Linked DNA regions of Oryza sativa Japonica Group. The protein of the gene in region 2 binds, or shares a complex with, the protein of the main gene of each other region. Links are inferred from orthologs where the notes say so. Each region holds a gene or a part of one and is shown on either strand. Other genes may lie near its edges.

What was found.
Region 1: the proteins of acyl carrier protein 1, mitochondrial (region 2) and NADH dehydrogenase [ubiquinone] 1 beta subcomplex subunit 9 are in contact, whole or in part, in a cryo-EM structure (PDB 8BEH), measured with the Arabidopsis thaliana proteins. The link is inferred for Oryza sativa Japonica Group from reciprocal best matches to the Arabidopsis thaliana genes MTACP-1 and CIB22. Residues at the interface, in NP_181990.1 of Arabidopsis thaliana: Asp78, Ser79, Leu80, Asp81, Val83, Glu84, Val86, Met87, Glu90, Glu91, Lys94, Leu95, Glu96, Ile97, Asp99, Lys100, Ala102, Asp103, His118, Met120; in NP_567970.1 of Arabidopsis thaliana: Glu18, Arg21, Ile22, Tyr24, Arg25, Arg26, Leu28, Lys29, Leu32, Arg38, Phe41, Arg49, Phe52, Asn53, Tyr84, Ile85, Val86, Pro87, Trp88, Ala89.

The regions. Positions count from the first base shown.
Region 1 is NC_089040.1:31,147,713-31,151,881, forward strand, and holds NADH dehydrogenase [ubiquinone] 1 beta subcomplex subunit 9, read right to left. Parts: upstream 2,807-4,169; 5' UTR 2,714-2,806; coding exon 2,588-2,713; intron 2,500-2,587; coding exon 2,458-2,499; intron 2,332-2,457; coding exon 2,250-2,331; intron 1,549-2,249; coding exon 1,493-1,548; intron 801-1,492; coding exon 765-800; 3' UTR 480-764; downstream 1-479. UniProt on the Arabidopsis thaliana protein: Accessory subunit of the mitochondrial membrane respiratory chain NADH dehydrogenase (Complex I), that is believed to be not involved in catalysis. Complex I functions in the transfer of electrons from NADH to the respiratory chain.
Region 2 is NC_089041.1:6,877,065-6,879,779, reverse strand, and holds acyl carrier protein 1, mitochondrial, read right to left. Parts: upstream 1,269-2,715; 5' UTR 1,187-1,268; coding exon 968-1,186; intron 892-967; coding exon 715-891; 3' UTR 503-714; downstream 1-502. UniProt on the Arabidopsis thaliana protein: Carrier of the growing fatty acid chain in fatty acid biosynthesis. May be involved in the synthesis of short and medium chain fatty acids.

The DNA of each region.
Region 1 (4,169 bases), on a different chromosome or scaffold from region 2:
TGCGTCTACTCCTCCCTCTTCTTCTCCCCCTCTCCGTCGACTGCTTTGCTTCGCTTTGGTTTAACGAGAAACTAACGGGGCTTGGGTCAGACTGACAGGTGGGGTCCGAGTAGTGGTGGGACCCGGTCCTCAGTGAGAGTGGGTTACACTGACAGGTGGGGTCGGAAAGAGTGGTGGGACCCAGTCGTCAGTGAGGGAGTTTTGCCGTCGCTTCGGTTTCGTGAAGAGGAAGAGGAGCGTCGCCGCCCGCCACGAAGGTTAAGTAGGTAGACGGTGGAGATCGCTTGTGCCGCCGCGTGCGCTGCATCGGGGCAACCGTTGGATCCGTGCCTTCCAAGACTCGGAATCGCAACAGTTGGATTCAGGACGAACCGTTTAGGGATAGAGAAAAATTCACAAGGATTTCATACGAATACAAACATTTGCGCCATTTTTAACGGATAATAAAAAGGCAACGGCCCAGAGTTGTGACGCCACGCTGACAACCAAATGCAAGTAGGTTGGATGGATCAATCGAACGTAACACATTAAGCAGTTTATGCTTGACTGAAAGATAAATGATGCATAGGCATAGCGATGTGTATGTAACAACAATGCACTAGCTGATGGAAAAACGAAACAAAAGGGTGACAGACCAGTGGCTTCGTTCTTATTGATCATACAACATGTCGATTGCACGTTATCAACTGGAAAAAGGGAAATTAAGTTGTTTGCACCCTGGAGGTGCTAAGTTCTGCTCCTAGATGCAGCAGGGCTCCTGTTCATCAGTCTTCTTTTCCATAGTTGTAGATAATCTCGATCTGCAGGAGTCATATAATCACCTTATAAACTGATTGCGACACTTTGATGCACGAAACACAAAATCAAAGGAAAACAATGTGACAGCAGCAAAACCGGAACAAGTATGGCAGCAAGTAAATCCTTATTCATAAAGCTAAAATGCATCGCAAACTGCACAGAATTTGCTTCTTTTCACATATGTTTATCCATAAAACTAAAATTTGCATACTATTCACATATGCTTGTCAAGTTTTGACTGAAGCATACATGCCATATAAGTAATTTGGATACAACTGGAACAAAATACTCTCTGGTAGTACCAAAAGAATAAAAATTGAGCTAGTAAAGTGGATGGTGACTAAGAGAATGCAGCACCAAAACCAGAACAGGCAACTTAACTAACCATACAGTTTGTGGCAGTTACCTCTTTATTAATCAGTTTATAGTCACACATCTAAAAGCATAAAATAAGATTTAGAACAAAGAGTTATGTGTTTCGACAAACAGAGATGTACTCCAATGTGGACTAATGTTTGAATTAAGGTGATCTAAATCTGCTGAGTAATTTTGTTAAACATTTAGATACAAATCTCCAAGAAAACCATTATAAATGACAAGCACTACATCAATTTCTACTAAGGACAAGCAAATATTGGACGAGGAAAAGGAGTCAGGCATGATAAGATAAAAAATTATGAATTTATGTTCTTACCCCTTTAGGTGGAGGAGGGTTTCTTGTGAATTTACTGCCACCAGGAGCCCATGGGACTGCAGAGATTCGAACAAGCATATAAGAACCCCACCTTATTGATCACATCATCAAGGGCATCATAATATGCCTAAAACATACTACTAACTCCTAAGGGAAGTTTGAATATCTCTAGTACAAGGCAGTAGTGTTTACAGCAACGGTGAATACAAAGTCAGTCTGATTTGTGAGATTCACATATCAGCTCATTGCACCAGTAGTCCAGTACATTGACTTGAAACTAGCAATACATCTCAGAAACAGCTGCAGCCTTTTAGTCCCAACTCCCAAGCAAGTTGGGGTAATCTTAAACAATATAGGTAGAAATAACTATGAGCTGAATGGTGATTTGGCATTGCCATTTGAAAGATAATAATCTGTAAGGCAGTTACTTTATAGAAGCAAATCTGTATGGCACCGCATACTTATCAGCAGGGATGTTCATATATGGTTCCAGTGAAACCGTGTAATCACATCAGTGGCAACGCTAATCACTAGCTACTTTTGCTTAAGTTTGTTTTGGAAGGTTTCTTACAAATCATAGTTGAACACCCCTACTTATCTTGTACCCATTTTAAGAGTTCTGAAGCCTTGAAAGTAAAAAATTAAACGCCAAACCAAACAGAAATGCTACCATCCTACATGACTTAACAAGAGAAATTCGGCTTGAAAGAGAGGTTTCGGCAGTGAAAGCAAAATTCTCCAGCATTTCAGAGCTTACCAATGTAGGGATCGGGATGCTGGAAATTCCTGTACTGCGCTTCCGCATCATCGATAAGCCTATCGATCACATCCGGGTTGTCCTGCAATTCCCCTCACAAAATCAAACACACAAAAAACCATTCGTAAACTACAACTCGCGAGTTCATTTCGCGACACAACACAACAAGCGGAGGCGGAGATGCGGGAAGCGGAAACGGAGGCGTTACCACATCTCTGTTCGCCTCGAACTTCTCCCTGAGATCCGACGCCTGCGAGGGAGGGGGGAGGAACACGAGGTCAGATCCGCGAGCACGGGGGGAGCAGATCGGAAAGGGGGGAGAGGAGAGGAGAGCTCACGTCCTGGTAGAAGAGGTGGCGGTGGACGGCCCAGTTGAGGGTGTCCTTGAGGGCGCGGCGGTAGAGCAGCCGCACCCTCTCCTTCTGCGCCGCCCGCCGCGCCAGGAACCCCGCCGACGTCGCCATCGCCGCCGCCGCCGCCGCCGCTTGCTTCCTCTTCTCTCTCCTCTCCGATGGTGTGGTGGGATTCGGATGCGGAGGAGAGGAGACCCAACTGACAGGTGGCCCAAGCGGAGGAGGGTGGATACTGGCTAGCAAGGCCTTGATGGGCTAGGCCTTTTGTATAGTAGTGGGCTGGGCTTTAGCACACAGGGTATTATTGTAGTTGGGCCAATTTTTGATGGATTTGGGCTTCTACTAATCTGGTAAGGACCTCATTGTAAACCACTTGTATTTTCCTTTATTTTTTTATCTTTTCTTACATTTGTGGGTATCCTAGCGAAATCCGTAAATATTTTTCTGCTCCCTCCATTTCATATTACAAGTCACTTTGATTTTTTTCCTATTTAAATATGTTTATGTTTGACCAAGTTTATGAAAAAAAATATTGTAACAGTTCTAATACAAAACAAACATGTTCTCAACATATATTCAATGAAACATTCTAAAAAAAACATATATTCAATGTACCACAAGCTGATCCTTGGTATTGCCTGGCCTCTATTCAAAATAAACAAATTCTCCAATGACATTGAGCTACTAATACTAAGCAATTTCTTCAGACAGAAATTCTCAAGAAAAAGAGGAGAAAAGAACTCATATGAGAGTAAAGCTGTGTTCGCTATGGGTTGTTCCCAACTTGGAACAGTAGCATGGAAAACGGAGCGATCCATTAGCGCGTGATTAATTAAGTATTAGCTATTTTTTTCAAAAATGGATTAATTTGATTTTTTTAAGCAACTTTTGTATAGAAACCACTGGTGGAGAAACCCTTTGTAGTCCCGGTTCGTAACCCCCCTTTAGTCCCGGTTTCCAAACCGGGAGTACCAATCCGGGACTAAAGATCGCTATCTTTAGTCCCGGGTGAAATAACCGGGAGTAAAGATCGATCTTTAGTCCCGGTTGGTGTTACCAACCGGGACTAAAGCTAGAGCTGACCTTTTTTTTTTGCATGCCCCTGGTGCTGCATGGTTTATATATATATATATATATATATATATATATATATATATATATATATATATATATATATATATATATATATATATATATATATATATATATATATATATAAACCATGCATATATATGTTTCAATACATATATATGCATACATATATATATGTATTTATACATATATATGTTATGCAAATGCATATGTATATAGATATATATATGAACAAAATATATTTACATTATAGAAAATGTGTACACATGCATATAGAAACATATGTAGTCATGTATTAATTACAATCCATTATATGTCCTAGCTAGCTACGGTTTCGACGTAGTAGTACTCGCTGCTAGCTCAGAAGCTAAGGACCAGTGAATTGTGTTTCCGTCGTAGTAGAATTCACCCTTGGGATCAAGGATTTCTTCGTTGATGAATCCCATGAGTTGTTCTTGAACCGCCGCGATAAATT
Region 2 (2,715 bases):
GTAGGGAAAATGCAAGTACAAACTTGAGTATCTGCCGTGTTCACTTCACATCATAAGCTTGTCTTGAACTGGATTTGAGGGTTACGCGATTAAATGGGGTGTCTTAAACTCAATTTTATTTTCGGATGCAAGAAATGCAATACATTTGAATAGCCTAACCATAATTTGGTCACATAAAACCAAATTGAAAACTACTAAAATGGGGGAAACAAAAGGTAGCATACATTTTTCACGAAACTACTGAGATGTCCCACATCCTACATTATTTCCTACAATAACCGAGCCATGATTCTTTTAGCAGCCTGCTTGGTCTCCATATGCATAAGCAGATGGAAGAGAACTGTTAAAAGAAAATGCAACACTATGTTGTTAAAGAATGAAATTTGCACATACAGATCTTGCAACAAACTGGAGCAAGTTTGTGCACCACAAAACTAGTTCATCAACAACAGCACATCCCAAAACTATTTAACAACAACGGCACATCCGACATGATGAACAATTGAGCAAAAGAGCAAGAATCTAGCATCATATTGTCACAAAACCGAAATTGTGGATGTTACATTAGAGATCGACATCGATGGCAACATAACACATAATCTAGAGTACCAGGGACAAGTTTTCCTGAACCACTCCAGCAAAATTATTCATCCCCCGCAGAACAAAAATAGTAAATCAAGAAAAGCCTCACCACGGCACGACGGATCGGTGAGGTCAGGCGGCCATGGGGTGGTTGGCGACGTACTCGATGGCGAGCGGGAGGGAGTCGATCTTGTCGGCCTCCTGGTCGGGGATCTCGAGCTTGAACTCCTCCTCGATCGCCATCACCACCTCCACCGTGTCCAGGCTGTCCAGCCCCAGATCCTTCTCGAAGTGCGCCTCGGGACTCACCTGCCAACAACAAGCTAGGGTTAGGGTTCGGATGGCGACGGCGGCGGCGTGGATTCGAGCTGCGGGCTGGTTGTACCTTGGAGGGGTCAACCTTGGGGTGGCACTTGAGGACGTCGAGGAGGCGGTCGACGACCTCGTCGCGGGTGAGGTGGGCGTCGTGGGAGGACATGGGCCGCGCGAGCCACCGCGCCAGGGCGTGGGGCTGGGACGCCGCCGCGGCCCCCGCAGCCGCCGCAGGGGAGGGGGAGAGGCGGATGCGGCGGAGGATCGCCGGTCGGAGCGCCGCCGCCGCCATTCTCTCTCTCTTGGGGCGATTCGGATTTGAGTCGGCCGCCGGAATCGAGGAGGATGAGCCGATGAGGTCGCCGTGTGCTGGTGTGTGAGTGTTTCTCTCTGATCTTACTTTAGAGGACTAATCGAGTTGCTGGGCCGTTTGATTGCAAATCAACGGCGCAGATTAATCGAGTTGGAACTTTTTTTTAATTACTCCAACCATCCTATTTTAAACGCAGTTATGAGTTTCCATGTCAAATTTTGATTAAAAACACATAAGTCACGCATAAAGTACTATTCATGTTTTATCATCTAACAATAACAAAAATACTAATCATAAAAATTTTTTAAAGAATAAATTGCGTTGGCGGTACAAGAACTTGGCAGGTGGGTGCGATTAGGTGTAAAAACTTGAAAATCAAGCATAGCAGTACAATAACTTGGTTAGGTGGGTGCGCTCATGGTGCAAAAGTAGCCATGTAAAAAAAATTACCACGTTGCTATTCCACCTTAGCAAAATTGCCACATCAGCTTTGATATGAAAGACCTATCTCATTTTATAGAAAACCACAAATAGCTTTTTTTTTTGTTCCAATCACATTTCCTTTTTAACTCGACAATCAGAACAAACGAATGCATATCTCCTTCCATTTTTCTCGACGTGTTCCTAATTGAGAGGCGGCTGCGGTGGTGGCGATGGCGGCGCAGCGATGGTGGCGGCGGCAGTGACGACGACAACGAGGGAAACCGTTACATCGCAGCGGCGGCGAGGGCTTCGTGTGCCACATTAATTCAAGCACTAAACCAGTAACCAAACCAATTCAAGCCGACAATTTGCTCCTAGCTTGTTATGGTAAATCACTTGCTGATGGTTGTAGATTTCTATTTTTCGTTCATTTGATGGATGATTTCAAAGTTAAGGTTTTATTGATCTGTACAATGGCTGCATTTTTTTGGGTTTTCACTTGAATATCCTGTTATTTGTTATTACAATTCAATGAAGTGATCTAATGGTACTAGCCACTAGATTGGTTTTACTGTAATTATTGGTGTTTCCTATAACTGTATATGATATAAGAGAAACATTGGCAATGAGAAATTCTTGCTAGATGTGTTGTACCCTTTTCAGTAGATATAATTAGTTGAATAATCTGCAAATAATATTATTTTCCTTATGCGGTATAACACATCAACCAATTATTTTGTATTGCAGGTCATGAGGAAGAAGAATTCACAATTGAACTGTATCGTGGTGGGTTTTTTTTTTGGAGTTGGCAGTAGCAGAATTTATTTGGATGAGAAGATGGACTGGTTTGATCATTGTGATACAGGAGGAAAACAGATATATCTGAAGAAGTAATTGGAATACAAAAGTTATTAGGGACTTTTCTGTAAAATGAGATGGTCAATGCATGCTCATGTGGCACTTTCGCTGAGGTGGAACAATGGCGTAGCAACTTTTGCACCATGAGCGCACCCACCTAGCCAAGTTATTGTACCGCTATACTCGGTTTTTAAGTTTTTGCACCTAATCGCATCCAACTTTCTTGT